Linked DNA regions of Lonchura striata. The protein of the gene in region 1 interacts with the protein of each later gene in a pairwise test. Links are inferred from orthologs where the notes say so. Each region holds a gene or a part of one and is shown on either strand. Other genes may lie near its edges.

Region 1 (14,921 bases):
ATGACTAACTAAAATAAAACATACTTCCCAATAAAATTCAGATGGACTAGAAAAACTGCATTTACCTCTAAAAAACTAGTTTTTGAAACCAAAACAAACTCCCTAAACATCTGTCTATCACTAATTTTATATTATCAATTTTTCATTAAATTTAATTCTAAAGGAAAGCTCAGATATGGGTAACAAGTCTACTTGGCATGCCCCTAGGCTGGACAGTTAACTTCAGTACTTCCGAAGTTTATGAGGCAACATCCGAGTTTAGCAATCTGAAAAGTAATTTGCAGACAATAATAAACATAGCAGAACATTTACATTTTAAAATTAAAAAGAAAAATTGCACTAACTAGTCTAAATGAAGTTTGGTGTGAAAAAAAATTTTAAAAGGAATGATCAATTTTTGTGACAGTTTTCATGTAAGTACTTTTTGTGCTATCCTATAATTTAAACAGAAATTTATAGCATGGCTTTTGCAAATAATCTCTTTGACAGCAGATTATCCCTTATTTGATTGAACATTCTTCAGTCACAAATTCCTTTTCTATAGTATTAAAATGGAATACCCACCAAAGTCAGTTTTTCATTCACTTTCAACTCATAGTGCATTCTTCTTTGGGCATTTGACTATTCTGTAAACACAATTTAGAAGAAAAAAAATAAACCCAGTAAAAAAAACCTAACGATTCTTTAAGTGAAGCAGATAGAGATTCACATCATGGATTATTTTGCCAATGAAGAAAAATCAAAATAGGAAAATAATATAAAGACATTTATATGCTGCCTCTAACCTTTGGGAGCGAATAAGAAGGAAACAATCCAAAACATTAGGGAAAATACAACCTAATGGCAGAGAAAATATAAACATTGCCCAAGGAAATACAGGAGGAAAAAAGCACTTTAACCAGAGGAGAGTAGTCACTAGTGTAGCCTGGGATAAACAAAATACTTTCTTAAGTCTGGAAAAGAGGGGAAATAGCAATGGAAGGTATGAAAGTAACGAGTAAGTTTAGGAAAAAGTCTAGCGAATGAAAGTATATAGAGTATTTTGTGGTGCACATATTTTCCTGACAGGGAAATTCATATTTTGAAAGTTGCCAGGTTATTGTAATTTAAGGATCTATTTAGAAGGCAACTGTCTTTAAAATTGGTAGCGTATTCTTACTTAATTTGACTTGGTTAGTGCAGTGTCTCTGGTCAGAAAAAATAGATGGCTTCAGATGTTTTGATGAACTCTATTTATAAAGACTGTGTGTTCATTATTTTCCTCTGAAACCATGTGAATGTTTCACTCAAGGTCTCAGCTCCTTTTTGGTTGATAGTCATCTTGAATCTCACTTGCTCTGCTTTTCTTACAGCTACATTCCCAGGGTTTGCTCAGGCCTGTGTATGGGTATCTGTGGCTTCTCTGCATCTGTTTCTATGGCATTTTACATCTCTTTTTCTCACATATGCCTATCCCTCAAATATCCAACAAAACATGTGCCAGCCACTTGTGTCTTTGTTTTTGGTGGTGATGACATGCACCCATGTTCTTGTGGAATCTGGCTCTCTTTTTTTCAGAAAGTTAAACTACTTCTTACGGTGATTTTTGAAGAGCACTGCCTATGACAATTAGCTGTAATGCATTTTATCTAACAGCAAGTTTATGGATAACAGACCACGTTAACAAATTGAACCCAGCATGGAAAACATACTAGCAATAGCACAGGTATACAGATCACAGCTTCCTCAGGAGAGTCACTATTATTTTTCATATGAGTACTTGCACTGGAATGCAATCAACAGTGGAAAAAGTTGGTAAACCTACAAAATGTACAATAATAATTCAAAACTACAAATTAACAATGCTGTGTACACTAGTGGTCTTTCATTATCATCACAATTTTAAAATTATTTCCACTTACCTATAAGCTTTAAGCAAACTGCTTATGCTTAGTGTGTTATTTTTTCAAGTGTATACCTTTGAGGCAAAAATTTTCAATGGTGAATTCATCTTTTAATATATGAATTATGTTTAAGAAACCTGATGAAGTTGAACATGTATTTTCAACTAGTGGGAGGATAAATACAGAAATGTAAACATCAAAACCAGGAATTTAAATACATCATGACTGAGAAAAGGACATTTTCCATAAATAGATAATTTTGACGTGATTTTTAAGCTGTGTCATCCAGCCAGAGACATATATTTGCATTTAATTTGAGCTTCTCCATGTCAGCATCTCAATTTTCTGGACCATTTATTGTCCCTGTCAAAAGTTTAAACAAAAATTTTAAAAAGGTTTTGTGCTTCAGAATGCACAGTATTGCAAGTATGTGAGAAATTAAATAAGTGATAAATTTATACTGCTTTCTGGTTCGCTAATGGAGCACCCACACATCTTCTAAAGTCCTGACAAAGTAGATGCAGTGCTATTTGTCCCTGTGGCCATACTTAGAAGCAAATTTCCAGCACATGTCCAGCTACATTAAAAAAAAAAGATGAAAATAAAAGTTATAAATTGAATACTCAGCATTCAGAAAGTAACAGATTATGTTTTATTTATCCTTACTCATTTTCTTTTCTTATCTTAAAATCAATAAATTAGGCTTCAGAAGTCATTTTCATTACAAATTGATGCTGACAGCCTTAACTCAAAGAAGTGCAAAAGTTACTCATACTTATTTCATTTTATTGCACTATATTGCACAATCTCACTGTAACATCCTTTCATAAAGGCCACAGGATGTCTAAACTAAGAAGGACATCTGCTACAGGTTAGAAGTCTGGTTTAGACACTGTGTAGGACTTATTTTAAAATGTCTTCATATGAACAAATATCTCAACTGATAGCCAAATTTCAAACAACTTTCTTTTATCAGGTTACTGTATCAGATCATTAATTGCTTGACTAAATAAATAATTAGAAATGTGAATGTGATTTATCCCTAGATGGGGAGCTACAGTTTCTTCTTACCTTCCTTTTATCAAGTCACTTTGAAAATACTGCTTTAGGTGTGTCTATAAAATGCAACATAATTGGAACAGGCATGGACATTGGAAATAATCTGTCTAAAGATTGCACATTAAAGTATTTGAACAGACATTGGCACAGGCTCAAAGCATGCCAGCTTGCACTTTCCCAGAAAATTCCTGTGCACAATTTAGGCATTAGTATTAGTCACGAACCATTCTCAATGGGTAAAAAATACATGTGACTATCCTGGGTAAAACATGGAACATTATGTGGCTACAAGCTCCAATGCCAGAGAACAGTCCCAGGCATGTTTAACCTGATATTTATATGTAGCCATTTCATGCTTTGGCTGAGGATAATTAACACTTCTGAAAAATAGGAAAGTTCTCTCTTCCAAGGAAGCAGTTTTTAAAGGCCTGAGCCCAAGGCACTTCTTTTAACATACGCTATATAGATAAGCATATCTCTGTTTTAAATCTTCCTTTTCTGGCAGGTTCATTAAAAATGGAATGGCAAGGCATGTTGTGATATTCTCAATTTTTTTAATGCATACAAATATGATGTTTTGAATGCAGAGCTGAATATAACAGCCCTTAAGACCAATTTTAACTTCTGTCTTTTGCCAGAAGATGACTGTCCACATTTATTTGCTGGCCTGTGAAGTTCTGTATTTATTTAGTTTTACCTCTTAAAAAGTGTAGAAAGAAAAAAAAAAAAGCCTGAATATTTTTGTATTTCTCTCTTAAATTTTTCCATAGTGGGCCTCAACAACAGTCTTGTAGGAAATTGAACAGTATTTCTGATGTGGCTAACATGACAGTAAGTTGTCCTCCCAGTGCCTAGACAAACCAAGACAATTGAGAGAATAGAGTTATATAATGCTCAAATTATGAACAAAAAAAACAACCTCCCCTCCCAAAAAACCCCAAACAACAACAACAACAAAAAAAAAAAACCAAAAACTAACCAAACAAATAACAAAAGAAAAAAAATCCCAACCAAACCAAAAAACCACCACAAAAATTATAGGAAATCACAGCATGTATCAGGAATGATACCTGCTTCCTTTCTGAAGTCCAGCAATGGTGAGAAAAGGACCTAAAGAATATCATTGGCAATGTGCAACTGATCATGTATCTTCTCTAAAAAATCAGCTTCTGTTAGATCTGTTTTTATAGCCCTGATATAACAATTCTGGGACAATCTTGTCCAGCAGTCTATCATTGGTCTTTTTTCAATTATATAATTGAATATTTGCCTTATTGAATATATGAATAATTGAATATGTGTCTTATTATTACACATATTTTGTAGTCTAAATTACATGTTTTAATTTTCTTTATTTTAACTATATTCAGAATCCCTAGTACTTTGCATAATTAAGAGTTTACTTTAACATTCAAATGAAACTACCAGAATTTTGTCTTGTCATTTTTTCTTCATAGAAACATTATTGTACAATTTAACATATATGCCTGCCATAGAATTCATATTAAGTACAAACAGAAGCTCATTCTTAACATGGTAGAGATAACACAAGTTTGCCACTTAAAATGAAAATGTACATTTAATTTCATAGTAAATTCTTCTTAGTCAATTAAGCTAAATAATTAGAAGAAGGAAAAAATATTGCATCCATCTGGTTTACCAGGAAAAAGAAATAAAATTCAGTAGTCTCCATGAAGCTGTAAACTTAAGGAAGTAACCATACAAACATTTGACTCCTCAGGCTTCTTTGACTTTTTATTTAGCCTGTGCCACTGTCAGTTTCATATTTAGGTTGCTTACTTTCCACAGCGAATATTCCCATGTCAATTAGTTACATGGTGCTATTATTTGTTCCTGTGAACTAAAGGCAATGCAAAGAATATACCTTTGTATTAGTTGTCATACAGCATGCATTATGAAATTCTTCGTAATCATTGTGTAGTACAGCCTTAACACCAGATTCTTATAGAATTCTTAATAGAGTACTTCTAATAGTACTTCTATTAGTACTTCTTATAAAGTACTTAAATTTAGGATGACAGATAACAATTGCATTACTGTATTCAGATAACCAGCTACCACTTTTTATAGGAAAATTCTTTCCAGTTATTGAGAGAGTATATAAAATATACAGTTGTAATTTTAAAAAATACTTTATTGTTATGTCCTAATTATTTTAAATATCTACTTAGAAATACATATACTGTAATAAGGGTAATATACATACCTATGAATTACTAAGAGGTAAACAGAAAGCAGTGTTTGTGCATCACAACTTAAAGTAACAGGTAAACAACTTAAAATTACATGTATTTGAATGTTATACTGGCCCTTAAAGAGACAAAAATGATAAAAACCAATGCATTTTTCATTAATTCTACAGAAAAAAAAACAAAACAAAACGACAAAAAACCCCAACAAATTACAACAATAATATCTAAGGAAAATATTAGTTCCAGGTGTTTTATTTTACTCCAGTATTACATGCTGTACATAATTGATGAAGCTGAATAACAACATATAGCAGTCAGGGAAGTTAACATCAGAGTGAAGAGGGCAAAAGAGGTCCCTTCTTTATTATTTTCAGCAATACTATCTTTGCATTTATAAAGCTTATCTCAGTACACAGCAGCAGCAGTTGTAAACAGCAGCAAGAGACATACTTACAGCTTTCCATATGTTTTGTGAAAATGTTATGAGTAGTCTCTCCATGAAGATTTTTTAAATTCCTGCCTTTTGAATTAAAATTTACTTTGAAGAACAAAAAACTAATCTAAGAGTAACAGACTGGATAAATAGCTTAAATTTAGGGGAACTCAGTCATTTGTTTTGGGCAGAAGATGCATTTGCCCTTAACATCAAAGGGAGCAGGATTAGGTTCTAAAGCTTTACCCTGAAACTTGCAGTTAATTTTCTGGACTACATAGGTGTGGATTTGTCAGGGTAATTCAGAGAGCTCTGCCCTTCTCCATACTGCCACCAGTTTTGTTCATGCAGTGTATGCTCCTTAGTGTGCTACAGTCATGGTTGCATGGCTGCATAGCTCCTCCCATACAGATTAGGGCTATCCCCACCCCATGACTCAGGCCTGGAACACAAATAAGGTTTAAAGGCTTTTTGCAGTAGTTATCAGGTAATCTGAAATACTTGATTTATCACTTCACTGGTCATTTCAGGCATAATGACACGAACCCTGTGCATACTAAGGTGCTTTAGGAATGTAGTGAACATCCATTCTGCAATAGATTGTTGTGAGTGAGCTTTTGAAGCAGAATACAAGCAACTGCTTGTCTGAATGAAGACAAAGTATTCGATCTTTCATTTTAAAAAGCATAATAAAAATATTTAATTTCCTTAAGGAAAATAAATTCCTGATTTGCCCATGTGTGTTACACACCACCTTCTAGAAGAACTAATGGCTTAAATTAGTTGTTCTCTTGTGCAGGTAATACAGCATAGTACTCAAGTAAAATAGCCACTTCTACAAGATCTTTTAATTGAATGGTATTTTAAAAGCATTAAATGATCTAGTGATATTCTCACTGAAACCATAATCAAATAGGACTTGTGCCAGACCATAAAATCCAAAACATATTTGGTATTTGAAAATTAAAATTTCAATGTTCTGTATTTTATTTACATATTAATTCACGAACTAAGAAAAAAATAATTATTTGAATGGATTGCTAAAATCATGGAAAGACTACATCAACATGAATCGGTAACAATCACTCAGAAGTAGATCGAAATAGTATTCCTGAGCTTTGTAATTTTAGAATTACATTTTCCTGGAAATTCATAGATGTATAAGTACACATACATATGCTAGGTGAATTCCAGATAGGTAGCTCCTTAAATTATATTTTATTTCCAAGAGAATGTAAATAGTTTTCCCCTTGAGTTGCAGAGTTGCAATGTATTAAATTAAGTGCAAAGACATAAGGACACACTTTGTTTGCAAGACCAATTATTTACCTTTATTTCAAATTGCTAACTTCAAATTATAAATGCATAAACGATTTTAGGATCTTTTCTATTAACCTGGAACAAAGGTCTGTAATACATTTTTTTCAGAACCCAGTTTACTCTGTCTCTGTTAATACGTGTCATTGGAACAATAGTATTTCCACTACTGAATTACCGTGTTTTCCAGTGCCCTCTTCATTTCTGTGCTTTTAAGCAAAAACATACTTTAAGACAAACTTTGATTCACCCAAAATTACGAATTTTGTAGTAGTTTAAGCATAAGAGAGGCATTTGAAATCTGTATTAAAGACAGCACTATTCAAAAAATCCTAAGCATTGGAGAGATCAGGTGCACTGGTGTAAGATTTTATCCCTTTGTGCAAATAACATTCATCCAGCGCTGAAAGGGTGTGTTTATATGTCACAGGGTATTTACAGCTGTGTCCAGCTGATTCCTGAAGTCGACAGTCAAGGAGTTCTTCCTCTAGAAATGAAAGGAATTTTGTCCAAGTACTGAGCAGCAAATCGACATTAAGTGAGTACCAAAAGACACAGTTAATTCATGGGATGTAAATGCTTCTTCATTATTACCCTGTGCTATAATTATTCAGTTTTACCTGTACAGCGGGACATCAAAAAGTCTTTCAGACCAGGACATGCTCTGTCTCCAAACACTCCTTCACAACACAAAAAATATTTCCAGTAAATCTGGTGGTGGTGGAGCCTGAGCCTCCAGCGAAGGACATTTCACCTGATCAGTATTTTCCCCAGTGCTGGTCCAAAAAGTCCGTTTTTGAAAGTCACTCTCGTTCCCTATGTCCATCTGGAAATCCCTCGCCCCGGCAATGCTTTGAGCAGCGGGTCTTTGGTTCCTGCGGGGCGGCCTCTCACGTCCACAGAGAACGGGCATGAGCGGCGACAGTCACTCCAGCGAGTGTCCCACCTGCAGGGGCTGCCGCCCTTGAGGGTTCAGTTTAAGGGCTGTTTCCAGGTCTGCCTCCTGCGAGGCAGCCTTCGGCAGTCCTCCTCCTCGTCCTCTCCACCATGCTTAGGCAGGACAAAAAAAAACAACCAACCAACCACCACCACCAACAAAAAAACCCGAACAAACAAACAAAAAACACCAAAACGTATATTCTTTTTCCAAGAGAATCCCTTCTTCACAGTTCCTCAGAGCAGGTTTAAACGTAAGCTTCGGTCTCGTTCCGCGCACCAAAAGGCAGGGAGGAAGGGGAAAATAAAAAAAGAAAAAAAATAGAGAAGGTCGTGCAGCAACCGGAGGGGTGTGGAAGGGAGAGGAGCTACGGAGGGGAGACTGCCGGGAGAGGCGAGGCAAGGGAGCCCCTCCAGCTGCAGCGGCGGAAGCGGCGCTGGTGGAGCGAGGGAGCGATCGGGTGAGGAGGAGGCAGCGGAGGGAAGGGGGAGGTTGCTGGTGTTTGGCGCCGGTGGAGGGAGTCATTCCTGCCGCTGCACTTCCGGTCGGCATTTTGTTCTGAGAGGGAGCGAGAGAGACACACAGGATCCTTCCCCCTCCTCCTCGCCCTTCTCTCCCTCTGCCCCCCCGCTCGGTACCGACTCACCGTGCCCAGGCCGCCCCTCCCCGCCCTCCTGCGCTCGCACTCTCGGAGGGAGCGGCGGCGGCGGCGGCCCCTTGGCAGCGCTGCCCCTCGGCCACCCTCCGCTCTCCCCGGCTCGGAACCGGTTCGGCGCGGCGCGGCCCGGCCCGGCCCGTGTTGATGTTGTGAAGCAGGCTCGGGGGGAAGGGATTTGCCTCGGCCGCACACCCCCCGGCTCTACATGTTCGCTGCACTGAGGAGGAGACGGAAGAGGAGCCAGCCCCCCTCCCGGCCCGGATTATTGTTGTTATATTATCTCCCCTCCTCCTCCTGCTCCGCGGCGGCGGCGGCGGCCCAGCGGCGGCGGCGGCTCCTCTGAGGAGGGAGGGGGGCGGATTTCTCTCCCCCCCTCTTGGATTCTCGTTGGATTCAGACGCCGATTTGCTCAGGTAATCCCCCCTCCTTGTCTCCCCTTCCCCTCCCTGCCCTCTCCAGCAGCGGGCTGGGCCTCTCAGCCCAGCGGCCCAGCACTGCCGGGAGCAGAGGGGATTAGCTGCTATCCAGGGTAGAGGGGAGTAAGTGGCAACCGGAGGTGTTTATTTCGCAGCCCCCCCTTCCTTCTCGGTCGGGTTTGGCGGAGGTGGATGGTTCGTGCCGGGCTGCCGGAAGGCCCAGGCCCGGCGGAGGGCGCAGGCCCGCCGGCCAGCGCCTTTACTCCAGCTCGGGGATTAGAAAGGCGAAGCGGCTGCTCAGTGACAGGCCTCAACCCGAAAAGAGCAGCAGGAGGAGGAGGAGGAGGAAACAATGCAATTAGTCGCAAATGTGCATTGATCCTTTCCCATATTTACAACTTCACCTAGGGCAAGGAAGGAGGGTCCCAGCGCAGACAGCCCTTTGAAGTGGGACAGGAGTAAGTGGAGGCGTAGGGAAGGAGACAATGTAAATACTCAGGAACAAAAATGCCACTTGTCTTTGCTATCACCTTATTCTTCTAATCAAGTGTGATCTGAACATTCAAAAGTTTAAATGCTTTGTTTTTATAATCTGCAGACGTCTCATTTCTAAATAACGTTATTGATTAGTATGTTAATGACTTAGTATATTTATAGCATAAAATAGTGCTTGAAGGATATTGACACAACATTGGACACCTGCAGACCCAGGAAATACAGGTAGCCAAGCATATTGTATCAGGTACTCCACACAATTTTTGTGTCTGTGTCCTGTATACACTACAGGAATATATGTTAAAGGAAGGAATGCCATTTTCTGCTTCTAGTAAACAGAAAACAAGCAAGGGATCGTGTGTAAAATGCTGTGTTTATGACATTTAAGGGACCAGGGTGAAGATAAGATCTTAACCAAAGTACTTCAGAATCACATGTAAATTTATTTAAGTGCAATGTGAGGAATGCTTAAAAAGTGTCATCTTTTCTTGTCAGGCTATATCACTTTGAGATCCTGAGGCTGTTATTGGCTGTTTGTGTCTATGATGTTTGAATATGTAATTAGGCATAATTTTTACAGGTCAACTGTGTTTTGAAAATGACTGTTATTAGTCTCATGTCTTTATAAATAAATAGTAGCTGACGTGCAATAAAGTAAATCTAAGACTTGTAAGTGGTAGAGTTGTAAGTGTTGCTAAAAACTTAGGCACATTTAAACAAACACCCTGTGAACTAATAAAAATACTTCTACAGAAATTACATTGCTGCAAGAAATTTTAAGATACAAAGTTTCCATCCTTGTAGCGAGGAGTTTTGTTAGTGGCAATCGTTTATTGATACTAGATAATTTGTTAAATTTTCAGCAGGCTTTTTGGTTATTCAGGTAGATTTGCTGTTATAATATATGGTTACTATATCTAATAAAGTAACTTTCTGGGGCGTTGTGTTCAGAGACTTGTAAACGAAACTGCTACCGTGCCTCCCGCGTGCCCTGATACATGTTTAAAAGGGTGAAGTTAATATAGCTGTCACGTAGAAGGCGTGTTTTTAATGCTGTAAATCCGTGTAGTAGTCAGTAGCGTGTCCGTGATTTGTATTGGTCAGGGAGCAGTTTGAATTTTAAAAAGCCAGAAGATCCTGCTGAGCCCCAATCGCGGCCTCCCTTCCTCCCACTAATCTCCCATTCCTGTCTTTGTGCTGCCTGGTCCTGTTAGACACTGTTTGCAACAGGGCCTCAGGCCTACGTGCGTGGAGAGGAACCATTTACAGTTCGAAAAAGCAGCTTTTTATTTTTAAACTTTGTAAAATGCAGAGGGAGCCACTAGTCGTCTCTAACTGTCCCCACCTCGGTGTCTAACAGCAGAATTGCTGTTTGCTTTTGCCGTGTAGTGTACAGTGGACACCGAGTGTAACTCTGCTTCACAGGAAAGAAAGGACTGTGCAGAAGTAGTTGTAGTTCTTGGGTAGTTTTCATCATCAGGAAGCGACATTACAGCCCTAGCGTTTCTTGCGTCTATGTTTCAGGCAGCTGCCGTTCTAAGAAGAATGTGTTTGTTGAGCTAACAGTAGTGAACTTTTCTGACTGATTTTTCATTTAAGGAGGGTTGCTTTAAATATTCTCGATATGAGCAGGAAATGAGCTACTGTAGTTACACAGTTCCTGTCAAGTTTATCTTGCCAGGGCTGTGTGGTTGTGTTTACAGCACCCTTTTTTTTTTTTTTCCCTTTTTTTTTTTTTTTTTTTCAGAACGGATGCACTTTTCTGGAATGAAAAACACTTGTATTTTTTTCCCATTATATAAAGGAAAATATAAGATGTTGTCAATTTTAATTGTAATTCGTTTTTTGGGTTTGTTCTTATGAGCCATATGTGGTTAATCTGGAATTAGTTGCTTGATCACAGTTTATATAGTTTAACAGAAATATTTAAAATTGAAATATTTATAAGAGGACTTATTTTCCTTTTGAATTGCATGTTTTATCATATTTGAGAGTGTGTGTGTGCATATGTGGAGCAGGCCTGTAGCATTTTCATACTACTTTTCTCCTGATGTTAGGAGCTTCTGCTGGTTCTGGTGTTTATCATAGCAGCTAGCTGCTTAAAGACAATGTATTTATTTTATTGATGTTGTAGAAATACAAAACTAATTATTCTCAAGAGGCTAGTTGTAACTATTACTTTATCAAAAAGAGGAAAATGCTTATTTCTACATTTTATTTTGCACTTTTGCCTGCTTTGTGCATTTTGAGTTTACTTACTCTGCACAGGTTAGTTTTTTTCCTCTCAAATTTTTGAACATTTTACCTGAAGTTAGTCCAACACAAATCTCTTCCTGAAGTCTTTTACTGTTGATTCAAGCTGAAGCTGGTTTTTTACTTGTAAAAAATCAAGACACAGAAGCAGGCATACCAGTAAAATAATATATTTTTTTTAAATTTGCAGTGTTTAAATTTTGACTTAGAAGCAAGATGGATCAGAGAAGCAAAATTATATACCTAAGCCCTTTTGAACATCATTATTCTACATAAAAGCACAGGTACCCCATGAAACCTTATGCTTGGGACTCCATGTATATAAATGTTATTCTTGAAGAATCAAGGACATAGATAGTAATTTCCTTAGGACAGAAGAGTTTTGTTTGTGTTGTTGCATTAGTGTAATTATTAAGGTACTACAACTTTAATCCTAAGTGTTTCATATATATAGTCCTTTGCAATATAAATAAACTATATTTTGGAGCATACTAGGTGAAAAATATTACATTACAAAGTGTTGGACTAATTGTATTGCATTTATATTAATATTTCATAAAAATTGCACAAGGCATATGAAGTTTCTGGATAAATACTGTAACTAGAGAGAAAAAAAAAAACTTTTATCCTGAATATCTAGGCCTAGGAAAGAAATCAAGTCTTCAAATTCACAACTTTATGATTTCTAGAAATTATGTTAAAGGAGTGTGTAATATTCATGAATGTGTGTAATTTGGATAACAACCATGGGAATACTGAATCAGAAAAATATGAGTAGCAATAGCTTGAGAATTTGTTGAGTGTAGGTGTGAGGTGGGTCAGCTGGCATTAGGGTGGCTATTTAGTATCACAAAACACTAAAAGTATTTAACATTTGAATGTTAAAACGGCCATTTCAGTATCATACCACTTATTTTTTATCTTGTTTTTGATTTGCCTTTATTAGAAGTAGTTTGGGTTAGGTTAGCATCTGATTTTGAAACATCAGCAGTAATGAACAATCAGTTGCAGAGAAACCTGCAAGGAAATGCTTGAAATTGGTTATACCTGTGTATTTTTGCTAATAACTCTGTACAATAATGATCCCTTTTAATAATAAAAAAGGAAGTATTATTGAAATTAAGAAAACAAGTATTTAACAATTACAAAGTCCTTAATATAATTAATCTACATTTGTATTTTTATTTTCTTTCTATTATAAACATAATTCTTAGTTGCTGATCCTGACCCCCAAAAGGTGCAAAAGAAGTGCTTTATATTGACATGTATGACACCCCATGTGTAAGGAAATTGCGTTTGAGGAGATCGTGTAGCACCTGTCATTTGTGTTTCACTTCCTGTCCCTACTGCTAACCATGGAAAATCTCCCCATCAAAAGGGAGGGAAGAGAGCATTTTGGCCCAACTGTATGTGGAAACCAAAAAGGATTCCAGTCAGATTGAATGTGATTGTTGATACGTCTTTTAAGGTGATTACTTGGTCTACACAAATAACTTCAAAATAATGTAAATATCCAAGACCAGTTTTCATGTTGAAGTGATAAAAAATTCTAGAAAAGGTAATTTTATGGCCTTTAGAATTTGTATTGGTTTTAAGTGTAAGTAATCAGAGATCTCAGATTCTTTTTGTATTAGTAGAGAACTAAATTTTTAATTTTATTGCTGTGGTTTGATTTGAAGTGCTCTGGTTTTTGTAGCAGTGTATATGTGTAGACATGCAATGCATTTTAGTGGAACAGTGTCAGAAAGCTCTAGGCTGCAAAATAAGGGAGTCCTATAAAGAAACAGCGACTGAGGAGCTGGGCCTTTAACAGCACCACAGTATTCAACCCTACCCTTGCAGCCCAGCTCAGTGCCTCATCCAGTGCATGTGATATGCCAGCTAACCACGTTTATAACCTAGCTTATATACTTAACCATTCAGTGTGTAGCCTCTTGCCTTATTACCTGCTGTGTAAACCCCAGTCCTTCAGGAAGGCTGAAGTGTTTTCATATTTTAATTCATAGTTATCTCAAAACAAGGCACTTTTCAGACTTCAGAGAGCTTTTTTTTGAACATCTGTCAAATATTTCTTCAGTTTTATAGATGCAAGACCGAAATGGAATCAAAACAGTGATTTTTGAAAGCTTATAAATCGTATCTACTGTGACATGCTTTACTCTTCAGATTTTTAAAGTTACTTTATAGCACTTAGGAAGTTCATAACAATTTTTTTGTTGGCCTTATTTGTGGTCATGTGTGCTCTTCACATCAACTTGTTAGTTTGTTTCTCCTCCTGAAGTAAGAATAAGTAAGAAGTATAGAATAGGTTTTCACTGAAGGCCTTAAATATCTATTAAATTTCAACTCTTCTGATTATGCCAACCATTGGAAAAAAACAAACTGCCTGTCCTGAGAAACTAGAAAATAATCACTATCTCTTGAGGTTTATCAGGGAGCAGAGAAAATGTGATGTATCATTTACTCAAATCGCCCAGGTAATTAAATGTTACTGCTACAGTATTGAATACAGAGATACAAAATGTTACTGTTACTCTCTAGGATTGCTAGTTCCTGTTGGAAAGTATCCTAAGCATTGGGTTGGGATTCTTGGGGTTAAGGCTCTTGGCTCTTGATCTGATATTTGTTGCACTTGATATAGAGTGCTTGAATGCCCAACTCTACACCAGTGGTCAGACCACTGCCATGTCAGACAGTTGGTCAGGCTCCCCTAAGACTGTTAGTGAAGCAAGGTTGTTCTGAGGTGTAGTAAGTACATTCCTAGCCAGAAAATTGCTTTGGGGATGTAGGGACAAATGTGTAATTGTATCAGGCACAAAAGTTCTTGAACTTTTTTCTTCCCCTATGTTTTTTTGTATCATGCTCAATGTGTGGCTCAAGGGCTGTGAGTACATTATGGAACAGGCAGAATAAGTAGCACTTTAGTCTTATTAACTTATTTCCTTTCTGTCGTGTGCAGATTTTCTGCAAGAGTACATTTGTGGAAGTTTTTTGTTAGTTTGTTTTGGTTTTGATTATTTTTAAGAAGAGTTGTTTTTAATAAATGTCAGTTTTTGGCAAAAGATGTCTTCAATGAAACTTCTTAGTGAACTGGTTTTATTAACTGTTTAACTATTAATTTATTCAAATTCCTTAGTAGGAAAGTTTTATGTTCCACATAAAGCACCTCTTTTTACTTTGTAAGTTTGTGTTTCATGACGTGTATGTCATGCGCCATATATGGGGCAGTGATCCTGTGAATAACAAGAAATGTTATA
Region 2 (15,383 bases), on another chromosome or scaffold:
TGTATGTCTATTATATAAATTTATATAATTTTTACACAATTTACGTAAAAACATAAACGATATAAAAACCTAAGGGACGTCTCTCGACTACCGCGAGCCACGCCATTCGGAACGAAGCCAAGAGGAGCTCGCTTCCATGAAATCCCCCAATCCCGTGGGGCTGTTCCCGTACCTGCCCGGCGTCCAGGTAGTGCGTGACCTGCAGCACCAGGAAGAAGACCCGCAGCGATTCCTTCTGGATGGGGTTGCCCTGCCAGTTCTCCACGATCTGCCCGCACAGCGTCAGCAGCGGGTGCACCTCCTGCAGCTTCCGCTCCATCAGCAGCAGCTGCAGTGCCAGGGGAAAGCGGGAGAATCCCGAGGGAATGGCAGTGCCAGGGGAAAGCGGGAGAATCCCGAGGGAATGGCAGTGCCAGGGGAAAGCGGGAGAATCCCGAGGGAATGGCAGTGCCAGGGGAAAGCGGGAGAATCCCGAGGGAATGGCAGTGCCAGGGGAAACCGGGAGAATCCCGAGGGAATGGCAGTGCCAGGGGACACCGGGAGAATCCCGAGGGAATGGCAGTGCCAGGGGAAAGCAGGAGAATCCCGAGGGAATGGCAGTGCCAGGGGAAAGCGGGAGAATCCCGAGGGAATGGCAGTGCCAGGGGAAAGCGGGAGAATCCCGAGGGAATGGCAGTGCCAGGGGAAAGCGGGAGAATCCCGAGGGAATGGCAGTGCCAGGGGACAGCCGGGAGAATCCCGAGGGAATGGCAGTGCCAGGGGACACCGGGAGAATCCTGAGGGAATGGCAGTGCCAGGGGACAGCCGGGAGAATCCCGAGGGAATGGTAATCCCTCAGGAATGGCAATGCCGAGGGACAGCCGGGAGAATCCCGAGGGAATGGCAACGCCAGGGGAAACCGGGAGAATCCCGAGGGACAGCCGGGAGAATCCCGAGGGAATGGCAGTGCCAGGGGAAACCGGGAGAATCCCGAGGGAATGGCAGTGCCAGGGGACAGCCGGGAGAATCCCGAGGGAATGGCAGTGCCAGGGGACACCGGGAGAATCCCGAGGGACAGCCGGGAGAATCCCGAGGGAATGGTAATCCCTCAGGAATGGCAGTGCCAGGGGACAGCCGGGAGAATCCCGAGGGAATGGCAGTGCCAGGGGACAGCTGGGAGAATCCCGAGGGAATGGCAGTGCCAGGGGAAACCGGGAGAATCCCGAGGGAATGGTAATCCCTCAGGAATGGCAGTGCCAGGGGACAGCCGGGAGAATCCCGAGGGAATGGCAATGCCAGGGGAAACCGGGAGAATCCCGAGGGAATGGCAGTGCCAGGGGACAGCCGGGAGAATCCCGAGGGAATGGCAATCCCGAGGGACAGCCGGGAGAATCCCTCGGGAATGGTAATTCCAAGGGACAGCCGGGAGAATCCTTCGGGAATGGTAATTCCAAGGGAAAGCCGGGAGAATCCCTCAGGAACGGCAATCCCAAGGGAAAGCCGGGAGAATTCCCCAATTCCGGGATTCCCCAATTCCAGGGATTCTCCAATTCCATGGATTCCCCAATACCATGGATTCACCACTTCCATGGATTCCCCAATTCCATAGATTCCCCAATTTCAGGATTCCCCAATTCCAGGATTCTCCAATTCCATGGATTCTCCAGTTCCATAGATTCCCCAATTCCACGGATTCCCCAATTCCATAGATTCCCCAATTCTAGGATTCCCCAATTCAATGGATTCTCCAATTCCAGGATTCTCCAATTCCAGAAATTAGGATTGGAATATTCACCTGATTCCCACCCCTCTCTCCCCCCCCAAAAAAAAAAAAAATCCTCTGGAATTTGCAATTAAACAGGGAATAATTTATTTTAAAAAGATTTGCAACTCACCATCCCCTTGCTGAGCAGAAAGAGAGCTCTGGAATAAAGGAAAATAAAGTTAAATTCCAAAAGAAATTACTCCATCCACAGGAAAAAACAAACAAACAAACCAACAAACCACCAGGAAAAACAAATCTGCCTTTTTCTCCCACTAAAAACAGGGAAAAAGAGAATAAGGGCAGCTGATAGAGGAATTCCCAGGGAATTAGGGGAGGAAATTCCATAGAATTCAGGGAGGAAATCCCAGGAATTCAGGCGGGAAATCCCAGGGAATTCAGGCAGGAAACCCCAGGGGACTCCAAGAAGAAATCCCAGGGAATTCAGGGAGGAAATCCAGGCAGGGAATCCCAGGAAACTTGGGGATGAAATCCCAGGGAATTCAGGGATGGAATCCCAGGGAATTCAGGCGGGAAATCCCAGGGAATTCAGGGATGAAATCCCAGGAACTGAGGCGGGAAATCCCAGGGAATTCAGGGATGGAATCCCAGGAATTCAGGGATGAAATCCCAGGGAACTCAGGGATGAAATCCCAGGGAATTCAGGGATGAAATCCCAGGAATTGAGGCGGGAAATCCCAGGGAACTCAGGGATGAAATCCCAGGAATTGAGGCGGGAAATCCCAGGGAACTCAGGGATGGAATCCCAGGAATTGAGGCGGGAAATCCCAGGGAACTCAGGGATGGAATCCCAGAGAATTCAGGCAGGAAATCCCAGGGAATTCAGGGATGAAATCCCAGGGAATTCAGGCGGGAAATCCCAGGGAATTCAGACGGGAAATCCCAGGAAACTCAGGGATGAAATCCCAGGGAACTCAGGGATAAAATCCCAGGGAATTCAGGGATGGAATCCCAGGAAATTCAGGCGGGAAATCCCAGGGAACTCAGGGATGGAATCCCAGGGAATTCAGGGATGGAATCCCAGGGAACTCAGGGATGGAATCCCAGGGAATTCAGGGATGGAATCCCAGGGAACTCAGGGATGAAATCCCAGGGAACTCAGGGATAAAATCCCAGGGAACTCAGGGATGGAATCCCAGGAATTGAGGCGGGAAATCCCAGGGAATTCAGGGATAAAATCCCAGGGAATTCAGGGATGGAATCCCAGGAAATTCAGGCGGGAAATCCCAGGGAACTCAGGGATGGAATCCCAGGGAATTCAGGGATGGAATCCCAGGGAACTCAGGGATGAAATCCCAGGGAACTCAGGGATGGAATCCCAGGAATTGAGGCGGGAAATCCCAGGGAATTCAGGGATGAAATCCCAGGGAATTCAGGGATGGAATCCCAGGGAATTCAGGGATGGAATCCCAGGGAACTCAGGGATGAAATCCCAGGGAATTCAGGGATGGAATCCCAGGGAACTGAGGCAGGAAATCCCAGGGAACTCAGGGATGAAATCCCAGGGAATTCAGGGATGAAATCCCAGGGAATTCAGGGATGGAATCCCAGGAATTGAGGCGGGAATGCCGGGATCCCTCGGGAATTGTCACCTGGTGTACTCGGAGCCCACCACGCGCGCGTACTCGGCCCCCACGCCCAGCAGGTCACAGGCCGACACCAAATCCTTCTCCAGCGTGTGGAGTTGCTGAAACGGGAATAAAAACAGCCACAAAAACTCAGGGTTTGCTCCATGAATCCCAAGAAAACACCATTATCCCTGGATTTGCAAATTCCTGCTCCTTAAAGGGGTTTCACGCCCGTTTTCCAAAGACGTCTGTGGCGTTTCCAAGGATTTGTCTGAGCCCAGAAGGGTTTTTTTCGCCTTCAAATTCCTAATTAGTGAGAAATTGGTTAAAAATGGCAAAGGGTGAAAATCCAGTGTTGATCAGATCCCAACAGCTCCAAAAAACCCAGGGACTGTCACACTGGAGCAAGAGTTTTCCCAGCAAGAGGAGCCTCCGAGGTGTGCTCCCAAATTTGATCCCGTTCCCAACCCCAGGTGGGAATTCAGGAAGAGAACAAGCTCCAAGGAAATGGGAAAAATGGGAAACTCCAAGGAGAAGAAAAGCTTCGGAGTCCTCAGGATGAACTCCTGGAAAACTAAATATTCCTTAATCCAAAGGGAATTAAAGTTCTTTTTCCATAAATACGCTTCAGCGTGCCTCTATTCCTATAAATATTTTTTAATTTACAAGTATTTTGGAATGTATTCCAAATCAGGAACAAGAATTTTCCTTGGATTCTTTTCCTTGCTCCTTTTCCTGGTTACTTTTCCTACTCCTCCCATCCCACATTAGACATAAAACAACGCTCCCAACCCCAGCAGGATTTGCTCTCCCTGCAAACCCCAAAATGGATTTTCTCCCTCCATCCTTGGAATTCCAGGTCTCCGATTCCCACAGAGTGATCCTGGCCGATTCCTTGATCCAATCCAACACCAACTGCCTTTTCCCTCTCCACTAACGACAAATTTTTAGGAACTAAAGGGATAAAAAGCAGCCGTTTGCAGCAATGTTTTAGGGAACATCAGACTGCAAGGCTTCCAGGCTGCTCTGAAGGGGGATGCAGGATTTTTCCAGGGATTTTTCCCCAGGAATTGCTGCTGCAGGGACTCACGGCCAGCTGGAAGAGCAGCCTGCAGTGCCAGTAGGGAGTCTGCTGGGAGATCTGGATGGCTTTTCGCAGCAGGGGCTTGGCCGTGTCCACGGAATTCTGCAAGGCAAAGAGCCCCAGTCAGCACCCAGCAGCTGGGAATTCCCGGGAAAACCACGGGAATTCCCGGGAAAACCACGGGAATTCCCGGGAAAACCACGCCCGGAGGCGAGGCTGGGAGGGGTCAGAGTGCTGGAAAAAAAAAAGAAAATTAAAGTGGGAGAAGTTTGGGGCTGCTCCGTCCTTGGAATGGCCACGGCAGGGCGGGATGGGACTGGAGAAATCTGGGATTTGGGAGAACTGAAGAAATCTGATAGGAGAAATCTGGGATTTCGGGAGGACTGGAGAAATCTAGGATTTTGGGAAGATTGGAGAAATCTGGGATTTTGGGAAGATTGGAGAAATTTGGGATTTTGAGAGGATTGGAGAAATCTGACAGGAGAAATCTGGGTTTTGGGAGGACTGAAGAAATCTGGGATTTTGGGAAGATTGGAGAAACCTGTGATTTTGGGAGGCCTGGAAAAATCTGGGATTTTGGGAAGATTGGAGAAATCTGTGATTTTGGGAAGATTGGAGATATCTGGGGTTTTGGAGGTTTGGAGAAATCTGGGATTTTGGGAGGTGTCCCTGCACGTGGCAGGGTGGGATTGGATGGGATTTAAGGTCTTTCCAATCCAAACCATTCCAGGATATTCAAAATCCTGAGGGAAATTATGGATTTCCCTCCCTCTCCCCTGCCCGTAAAATTAACATTCGTTTAATAAGGACCCAAAGATTTATTTGGCCAAGCAAAATCCTCTTGCAGTGGGAAACTCTTGCTGCAATTCCAGCAGGAACTCCCTCAGTAAGGAAGGAAAAAAGCCTCTCGTGGCAGAAATGGGATTTTTTCATGGGATTACCCCGTTCCAAGCCCAAATCCGAGGGGCACAGAGGGGTTTTGGGGGGTTCTCTCACCTCCTGGCAGTAGAGCTCCGACAGCAAACTGGCTGCCTCGAACTTCACATCTTCAAACTGGGGGATCTGGCACCAGGGTTAAGGGAAACACAAAATCTGGGTGGGAAAGAGCAGCAAAGCCTCCAAAACCCCTCAGGAAAATGGGGGTGAGAGGGGATTTAAGGTCCCTTCCAACCCAAACCCTGCGGTTCTGTGAAAGCACATTAAAACCACCCATCCCATGCCCCCGTCCCCAGGCCCTTGAGGTGTTCTGGGGGTTTCCTTGGAGCTGTTCCAAGCACGGAGCTTTTCCTGGATCCCGGGAAAAGGATACCTGCTGGGATATCAGCCACTGCAAGAGAACACAGCGGGTTAGGCTGGCACGAACCCCCCCAGCACCGCCTGGCACCCTCCTGCTCCGTGCCCGGAGCCTCCCACCGCCGCCTGCCCTGCTCCTCATCTTCCCCCGCCGCCAGCACCTCTCAGCCGCCCCTCCCGCCTCTCCTCACCTTCTCCAAGAGCCGGAGCCCCGCGCCCACCGCCCCCAGCCGCTGCCCGGTGCCCCCGAGGCCGCCCCAGCGCCGCTCACCGCCTTCTCCAGGTGCCCGCGGGCCTGGTCGCCGTTGCGGGTGTGGTGGTAGAGGACGGAGCCGAGCTGGAGGTGCGTGCGGGCCTCCATGCGGGCCGGGGGCTTGCGGGGCAGCACGGCCTGCAGGCAGTGCACGCACAGCCGCACCTTGGGCGGGCTGGACGTGCGGAAATGCTCGGCCAGGCCCAGCAGCGCCAGGTACCACGACTCGCCCGCGGCCGCGCCGCCGCCCGACCCCGAGCCCGCCGCAGGCCCCGCCGCGCCGCCGCCGCCTCCGGCAGCTCCGCCGCCGCCTCCCGCGCCGCCCGCCGCTCCCGCCGCCTCCCCGGAGCCGCTCCCGCCGCCTCCCGCCGGCTGCGGCGGCTGCTGAGGCGGCGGCGGCTGCTGAGGGGCCGCCGCGCCCGCCGCCACCGCCGCCATCTTGGGGCCGCCGACAACACCGCCGCGGGGCGCGGGGCACGACGGGACTTGGAGTCCGAACGCCGCCGGCGCGGAGGGGCGGTGGGAGTTGTAGTCTGCCCTCCCGCACCGACGGAACGCGGGGCGAACCGGGGAACGAGCGTAGCGGCGGAGCCGCCAGAGCGGGGCGGTTCGGCCGCCCCTCCAGCGGGGCTCGGCGCGGCGGGAGGAGCGGGGAGAGCGGCGCGGTGGCTCCCTGAGGGACTACATCTCCCAGGGGCGCCGGCGCTGGCGCGGCCCCCGGCGCGGCGCGCCCGGCGCGGGGCACGCTGGGACGGGGGCTCCAAAATGGACAACCAGCGGGATGCGCCAGGTACGGCCCGGCCGGGCGGCCCCCGCCGCTCCCGCCGCTCCCGCCGCTCCTCCCGCCCCGCCGCCGCCCCCGCCTCGCCCCGCCGCCCCCGGGGCTCCGGGACGCGGGGGTGGCGTGTGCGCCCGGGCTGGGGGTGTGCCGGCAGGGTCGGGGGCTGCGAGAAGCCGCCCCGTTAAATCCCCTCCTTTTCCCCCTCCTCGTTCCGGGACGGATCCCCGCCGCCGTTCCCGGCTCGTTTTCCCCTAGGGAAGCCGGGCTGCTGGTTCGGGATGGCTGCTCTGTTAATTCCCCCCGTTCTCCCTCAGGAAAACCGAGCCTGGGGTCCGGGGTGGTCTCCCCGTTATTTTTCCTCTCTTTTTCCCCCAGGGAAGCAGAGCCGATAGCTCGGGGAGGCTCCACGGATGATTTTTCCTCCCCTTTTCCCACAGGAGCCCCAGCTGTTCGTTCCCTCTCTTTTCCCGTAGGAAAGCTGAGCTGGTGGTTCGTGGAGACCCCGCTGCTGATTTTTTTTCTCTTTTTATTTTGTAGCGAAGCTGAGTTTGGGATGATCCCTCCGTTTATTCCTTCCCTTTTCCCACAGGGAGAGCAAGCCTTGTTTTGGGATGATGCCTGTGTTAATCTCCTCTCTTTTCCCACAGGGAATGCGACCCTTGATTCAGGATGGTTCCTGTTAAATTCCAGCTTTTTCCCTCAGGAAAGATGCCCCTAATTTCGGGATGGTCCCTGTTCTTTCCCCCTTTTTTCCACAGGGAAGACCAGCCTTGGTTTGGGATGGTCTCTCCCTTAATTCCTGAGGGAAGCTGAATTCAGGGTGGCTCCTACTCTAATCCTGCCTTTTTCCCACAGGGAATGTGAGCTTGATCTGGAGTGATCCCTATTAAATCCCACTCTTTTCCCTCAGGGAATGCGCCCCTGGATTTGGGGTGATCCCTGTTCAATCCCAGCCTTTTCCCTCAGGGAAGGCACCCCTCATTCACAATTCTGGAGTTAATTCCGAGACAATTCCCAGACTAATTCCCGCTTTTTCCCTCAGGGAATGCGTCCCTTATTCCAGACAATTCCCGAGCTGATTCCCGCCATTTTCCCTCAGGGAATGCGCCCCTCATTCCAGACAATTCCCAAGTTAATTCCTGCCCTTTTCCCTCAGGGAATGTGTCCCTCATTCTGGACTATTCCCAAGCTGATTCCCGCCCTTTTCCCTCAGGGAAAGCACCCCTGATTCCGGACAATTCCCGCACTGATTCCCGCCCTGTTCCCATAGGGAATGCGCCCCTCATTCCAGCCAATTCCCGTGCTGATTCCCGCCCTGTTCCCATAGGGAATCCACCCCTGATTCCAGGCAATTCCCGTGCTGATTCCCGCCCTGTTCCCATAGGGAATGCACCCCTGATTCCGGGCAATTCCCGTGCTGATTCCCGCCCTGTTCCCATAGGGAATCCACCCCTGATTCCAGGCAATTCCCAGGCTGATTCCCGCCCTGTTCCCATAGGGAATGCACCCCTGATTCCAGCCAATTCCCAGGCTGATTCCCGCCCTGTTCCCCCAGGGAATCCACCCCTGATTCCAGGCAATTCCCAGGCTGATTCCCACCCTGTTCCCATAGGGAATCCACCCCTGATTCCAGCCAATTCCCGCGCTGATTCCCGCCCTGTTCCCATAGGGAATGCACCCCTGATTCCAGCCAATTCCCAGGCTGATTCCCGCCCTGTTCCCCCAGGGAATCCACCCCTGATTCCAGGCAATTCCTGCGCTGATTCCCACCCTGTTCCCATAGGGAATGCGCCCCTGATTCCAGGCAATTCCCAGGCTGATTCCCGCCCTGTTCCCCCAGGGAATGCGCCCCTGATTCCAGGCAATTCCCAGGCTGATTCCCGCCCTGTTCCCCCAGGGAATCCACCCCTGATTCCAGGCAATTCCCAGGCTGATTCCCGCCCTGTTCCCATAGGGAATGCGCTCCTGATTCCAGCCAATTCCCAGGCTGATTCCTGCCCTGTTCCCATAGAGAATGCACCCCTGATTCCAGGCAATTCCCAGGCTGATTCCCGCCCTGTTCCCATAGGGAATCCACCCCTGATTCCTGGCAATTCCCAGGCTGATTCCCGCTCTGTTCCCCCAGGGAATCCACCCCTGATTCCAGCCAATTCCCGCGCTGATTCTCACCCTGTTCCCCCAGGGAATGCACCCCTGATTCCGGGCAATTCCCAGGCTGATTCCCGCCCTGTTCCCATAGGGAATGCACCCCTGATTCCAGCCAATTCCCAGGCTGATTCCCGCCCTGTTCCCCCAGGGAATCCACCCCTGATTCCAGGCAATTCCCAGGCTGATTCCCGCCCTGTTCCCCCAGGGAATGCACCCCTGATTCCAGGCAATTCCCGCGCTGATTCCGCCCTTTCCGCAGGGAAGGCGAGCCGGTGGTTCGGCGTGGCGCAGTCCAGGGCGGCCAAGGCCAGCGTGAACATCCTGCAGCAGGAGGAGCTGATCGCCCAGAAGAAGCGCGAGATCGAGGCGCGGCTGGAGCAGCAGGCGCGGCAGAATTCCCTCAGCATCCCGCAGCTCCCGCTGCTCGGAGAGTGCGTGGGAATCCCGGGAACAAATCATCCCGGGAACGAATCCCGGGAACGCCGGCCTCCTGCCTGCCGCCGCTGGGAAGGGAGCCGAGGGAGGAAATCCCGCTTTTGGCAGAGCAGAGGGAGGAAAATCCCGATTTTAATGGAGTAGAGGGAGGAAAATCCCGATTTTAATGGAGCTGAGGGAGGAAAATCCCGATTTTAATGGAGCTGAGGGAGGAAAATCCCAATTTTAATGGAGCAGAGGAGGTTTTGGTGGATTGAGGAGCAAGAATCCCAGTTTCAATGGAGCACGGGGGAGAATCCCAGTTTTAATGGAGCACGGGGGGGAAATCCCAGTTTTAGTGGAGCAGAGTGGGGAAAACCCCAGTTTTAATGGAACAGGAGGAGGTTTTGGTGGATCAGGGAGCAAGAATCCCAGTTTCAATGGAGCAGAGGGAGCGAGATCACAGTTCTAGTGGAGCTGAGGGTGGAAGACCCAATTTTAATGGAGCAGGAGGAGGTTTTGGTGGATTAGGGAGCAAGATTCCCAGTTTTAATGGAGCACGGGGGGGGAATCCCAGTTTTGGTGGAGCAGAGGGAAGAAAATCCCAATTTTAATGGAGCAGGAGGAGGTTTTGGTGGATCAGGGAGCAAGAATCCCAGTTTCAATGGAGCACGGGGATGAAATCCCAGTTTTAATGAAGCTGAGGGAGGAAAATCTCAATTTTAATGGAGCAGAAGGAGGAAAATTACGATTTTGGTGGATTGGGGAGCAAGAATACCAGTTTTGGTGCAGCAAGGGGAGGAAAATTCCAGTTTTGGTGGAGAAGAGGGGGAAAAAATCACAGTTTGGGTGGATTAAGGAGCAAAAATCCCAATTTTAGTGGAGCGGTGAGGGGGAAATTCCAGTTTTGGTGGAGCAGAGGGAGGAAAACCCAATTTTAATGGAGCAGAAGGAGGAAAATTACGTTTTTGGTGGACTAGGGAGCAAGAATCCCATTTTTAGTGGAACAGGGTGGGGAAAATCCCAATTTTAATGAAAGAGGAAGAAGATCTGGGGTTCTTTATGTAGTACGGTGGTAGGTGAGGAAAATGACCAATTCCAGGGGTTTTTCCTGTCCCAAATCCCACATGGGAAGGGCAGGGAAGCTCCCAAATTCCAGCCTCTGTTTTTCTGTCCCCGCTCAGTGACGACGGCTCCGAGAGCGAGGCCTCCGTGTCCAACAAGTTCGTGAACGATGGGAGCTTCCTGCAGCAATTCCTGAAGCTCCAGAGGGAAAAATCCAATGCTGGTAGGTCCTTCCTTTCCCAGCCCAATCCTGGGATTCCCGGGAATTCTGTCCCCGTCATTCTGCCCTCACAAACTGCCCCAAATCCCCCAAACATTCTGAGAATGCCCCAGCTCCAAACCTGGGGAGGAAGCGGCCGGGGCAGACCTGGAGCCTCTCCCAGCCCAACCCAGGATTCCCAGGAATAATTTCCTTTCCGTCTCACTTCAGAAAATGCCCCAAATCCCCCCAGCCCCAAACCCCGGGAAGAATCCAATAATAATTTCCTCATTTCCCCCAGAGAATGCCCCCGGCAGCTCCCTGGCCCTGATCCCCAGGAAGGATCCAATAATAATTTCCTTTATTTCCCACAGAAAGTGCCCCGAATCCCCCCGGCAGTGCCCCATCCCCAATCCCCGGGAAGGATCCAATAATAATTTCCTTTATTTCCCACAGAAAGTGCCCCGAATCCCCCCGGCAGCACCCCATCCCTGATCCCCAGGAAGGATCCAATAATAATTTCCTCATTTCCCCCAGAGAATGCCCCAAATCCCCCCAGCCCCAAACCCCGGGAAGGATCCAATAATAATTTCCTCATTTCCCACAGAAAGTGCCCCGAATCCCCCCGGCAGCGCCCCATCCCCGATCCCCGGGAAGGATCCAATAATAATTTCCTTGTTTTCCCCCAGAGAATGCCCCGAACGCCCCCATCCCCAAACCCCGGGAAGGATCCAATAATAATTTCCTCATTTCCCCACAGAAAGTGCCCCGAATCCCCCCGGCAGCGCCCCATCCCCGATCCCCAGGAAGGATCCAATAATAATTTCCTCATTTCCCCCAGAGAATGCCCCGAATCCCCCCATCCCTGATCCCCAGGAAGGATCCAATAATAATTTCCTTTATTTCCCCACAGAAAGTGCCCCGAATTCCCCCGGCAGCACCCCATCTCCAGTCCCCGGGAAGGATCCAATAATAATTTCCTCGTTTCCCCACAGAAAGTGCCCCGAATCCCCCCGGCAGCGCCCCATCCCCAATCCCCAGGAAGGATCCAATAATAATTTCCTCATTTCCCACAGAAAGTGCCCCGAATCCCCCCGGCAGCGCCCCATCCCCAATCCCCAGGAAGGATCCAATAATAATTTCCTCATTTCCCTCAGAGAACACCCCGAATCCCCCCGGCAGCGCCCCGGCCCCGATCCCCAGGAAGGATCCAATAATAATTTCCTCATTTCCCACAGAGAATGCCCCAAATCCCCCCATCCCCGGGCCCCGGGAAGGATCCAATAATAATTTCCTTTATTTCCCCCAGAGAACGCCCCGAATCCCCCCGGCAGCGCCCCATCCCTGATCCCCAGGAAGGATCCAATAATAATTTCCTTTATTTCCCACAGAAAGCACCCCGAATCCCCCCGGCAGCGCCCCATCCCCGGGCCCCGGGAAGCGGCCGGCGCTGCTGAAGCGGCCGGCGCCGGCGCGGAGCCGCGTGCTGCAGGCGCGGAGCCTCGCCCTGCCCAAGGCCGGCCCCGGCCTCCGCCGCCTCAGCGTCTTCCAGGGCCCCGACGAGGACAACGAGGACGACGAGGAGCAGTGGCTGGAGATCAAAGGTCAGCGGCGGCTCCTGCCCGCGCCTGGAGCGGGAACGTGGGCAGGAATCCCGGGAGGAGTGGGGATTTGGGATAAGAGATCCGTTTGGAACAGGATTCCATGGGAGGAGTGGGGGTTTGGGATAAGGGACCCGTTTGGGACAGGATTCCCTGGGAGGAGTGGGGGTTTGGGACAGGGATCCGTTTGGGACAGGATTCCCTGGGAGGAGTGGGGATCTGAGATAAGGGTTCATTTGGGATACGATTCCCTGGGAGGAGTGGGGGTTTGGGACAGGGATCCGTTTGGGATAGGATTCCCTGGGAGGAGTGGGGATCTGAGATAAGGGACCCGTTTGGGACAGGATTCCCTGGGAGGAGTGGGGGTTTGGGACAGGGATCCGTTTGGGATAGGATTCCATGGGAGGAGTGGGGATCTGAGATAAGGGACCCATTTGGGATAGGATTCCATGGGAGGAGTGGGGATCTGGGATAAGGGATCCGTTTGGAACAGGATTCCCTGGGAGGAGTGGGAGTTTGGGATAAGGGTTCATTTGGGACAGGATTCCCTGGGAGGAGTGGGGATCTGAGATAAGGAATCTGTTTGGGACAGGATTCCCCAGGAGGAGTGGGGGTTTGGGATAAGGGTTCATTTTGGATAGGATTCCATGGGAGGAGTGGGGATCTGGGATAAGGGATCCGTTTGGGACAGGATTCCCCGGGAGGAGTGGGGATCTGGGATAAGGGATCCATTTGGGACAGGATTCCCTCAGTCCTAGTGGGAAGTTGGCTGGATTTATGCTAGGATAAGGGACAGGGCAGGGCAGGATTCCCTCCCGGAATAGGGCTTGATTTGGGACAGGATTTGGGGTGGTTTTATCCCAGGACAGGGCTCGATTTGGGACAGGATTTGGGGTGGTTTTATCCCAGGACAGGGCTCAGTTTGGGACAGGATTTGGGGTGGTTTTATCCCAGGGCTCAGTTTGGGACAGGATTTGGGGTGGTTTTATCCCAGGACAGGGCTCAGTTTGGGACAGGATTTGAGGTGGTTTTATCCCAGGATAGGCTCAGTTTGGGACAGGATTTGGGGTGGTTTTATCCCAGGACAGGGCTCAGTTTGGGACAGGATTTGGGGTGGTTTTATCCCGGGATAGGCTCAGTTTGGGACAGGATTTGGGGTGGTTTTATCCCGGGATAGGCTCAGTTTGGGACAGGATTTGGGGTGGTTTTATCCCGGGATAGGCTCAGTTTGGGACAGGATTTGGGGTGGTTTTATCCCGGGATAGGCTCAGTTTGGACAGGATTCCCTCAGCCCCATTGGAAAGCTGGTTACTTTATCCCTATTTACCATAAATGTGTATTCCCAGCACAGTTTTGGGGCAGATTTCTCCTTTATGGAGTGAAAATTCCAGCAATTAATGCTGGTGGGCTCTTCCAATTCCAACTGAAATCTAAGGGATGAAATTCCTGACGTTTTAGATATGAAATTCCCAATATTTGACTTATTGAATTCCTGATATTTTAGATATTCCTGACCTTCCTTGAGTTCAGTGTTTAAACATTACTGATCTCAGCCTGGAAAGTTTTTTGTCTTCAAATTGTCTGAGAGCTTAGCCAGGCAAAAATATCAGAAAACAACAGATAGGAGAAAATGTGTATTGATGGATTTGGTGGGTGGCAAATCCCAAAAATTCCATTTGCACCTTTGGAATGTTGTGCTGGGCTCTCCAAGAAATCCTTATTCTTGTCCTTAAAATGGGATTTTGGGGGGTTTAAGTGCTGGAAAAGGAGGAATTAGTTTGGGAACATGCAGGGCAAATCCATGCGTGCGAATAAATAAAACAAACGACACATCCAGCACGGAGCTGTTCCCAGGTAAAATCCAAAATCCAGGTAAAAAAAATCTCACCTGTAGGTCCTGAACGCCTGGAAAAACAAGGAGTGGCAGGAATTATCCCGGGTTTTATTGGGATAATCCAGGGCAGGAAGCCCCGAGGCAGATTTGCCTTAGAATGGGAATTTCACGGGTGGGTTTTAATGGATAAAAGGAGCTCGGCTTTGTGGCTGCCTTTATCCATGCCCAGAATCCCACAGAACCCTTTCTGCTGGGATTTGTACCAGCACAGGCCTGGGAATTCGGGAACTGAGCGTGAAACGTGCTGGGAACCTGCAGAGAGCTGCGCTGGCTTTGCCGTAATTGCAGATTCTGGGGCTGATTCCCAAAATTCCCAAAATCTCCGGGTTTATTCCCACTCCGTGATCCCTGTAGGAACTCCTGGGCACAGAAACCAAACTCTGCCTTCCCAAAATTCCCAAAATCTCCGGGTTTATTCCCACCCTGGGCACGGAAACCAAACTCTGCCTTCCCAAAATTCCCAAAATCTCCGGGTTTATTCCCACCCTGGGCACGGAAACCAAACTCTGCCTTCCCAAAATTCCCAAAATCTCCGGGTTTATTCCCACCCTGGGCACAGAAACCAAACTCTGCCTTCCCAAAATTCCCAAAATCTCCGGGTTTATTCCCACTCCATGATCCCCGTGAGAATTCCTGGGCACAGAATCCAAACTCCAAGGGGTTTTTTTTTTGGAGCAGGAAAAGCTGCTGCTCCGGCCACACAGGCTGGAATGTTCTGGGAATGGCTTGGCAGCTGGAATATGGATTAAGCCAAATTCCTGCTCTTTCCCTGCTGGGATTTTTAGGGAACAAATCCAGCAGGAGCCAACTGTGCTAAAGCTGGGATGAGCTGGGCACAGTTGAAACCTCCAAACTGGGATGGGGTGGTGGATTCCCAATCCCTGGAATGCCCAAGGAAAGTGGGAGAAGGGAAGGCTCCAGGAAAACCTTGGAGCTGCTTCCAGATCCTAAAGGGGCTCCGGGAGAGCTGGAGAGGGATTTGGGACAAGGGATGGAGGGACAGACACAGGGAATGGATTTAAACAGAAAAAGGGGGATTTGGCTGGGATTTTGGGAAGGAATTCCTGGCTGGAATGGGCTGGAATTCCCAGAGAAGCTGTGGCTATCCCTGGGAGCTGGAGAAGGGAAATTCCAGGCAGAGCTCTGGGCCTGAAAGGCCTCCGGGAGAGCTGCAGAGAATTTGGGATAAGGGATGGAATTCCAGGAGCCAGGGAGTGGCTTCAGACTGAGGGAGGGTGGATTTAGGTGGGATTTTGGAGCTGCAGAGAATCTGGGATAAGGGGTGGAATTCCAGGAGCCAGGGAGTGGCTTCAGACTGAGG

The links.
Region 2: the proteins of NIPBL (region 1) and MAU2 interact in binary tests that used the Homo sapiens proteins (3 or more experiments, as listed by UniProt). The link is inferred for Lonchura striata from reciprocal best matches to the Homo sapiens genes NIPBL and MAU2.

The regions. Positions count from the first base shown.
Region 1 is NC_134642.1:37,524,823-37,539,743, reverse strand, and holds the start of NIPBL (nipped-B-like protein), read left to right. Parts: upstream 1-7,312; 5' UTR 7,313-7,443; intron 7,444-8,632; exon of another isoform or gene 8,633-8,913; intron 8,914-14,921. UniProt on the Homo sapiens protein: Plays an important role in the loading of the cohesin complex on to DNA. Forms a heterodimeric complex (also known as cohesin loading complex) with MAU2/SCC4 which mediates the loading of the cohesin complex onto chromatin.
Region 2 is NC_134630.1:7,624,152-7,639,534, reverse strand, and holds the start of MAU2 (MAU2 chromatid cohesion factor homolog), read right to left. Parts: upstream 6,399-15,383; coding exon 5,979-6,398; intron 5,742-5,978; coding exon 5,724-5,741; intron 5,477-5,723; coding exon 5,411-5,476; intron 4,517-5,410; coding exon 4,421-4,516; intron 3,450-4,420; coding exon 3,355-3,449; intron 1,903-3,354; coding exon 1,875-1,902; intron 329-1,874; coding exon 173-328; intron 1-172. Other genes in the region: SUGP1 (SURP and G-patch domain-containing protein 1), read left to right, coding at 6,726-6,750, 9,149-9,320, 10,488-10,591, 11,959-12,171. UniProt on the Homo sapiens protein: Plays an important role in the loading of the cohesin complex on to DNA. Forms a heterodimeric complex (also known as cohesin loading complex) with NIPBL/SCC2 which mediates the loading of the cohesin complex onto chromatin.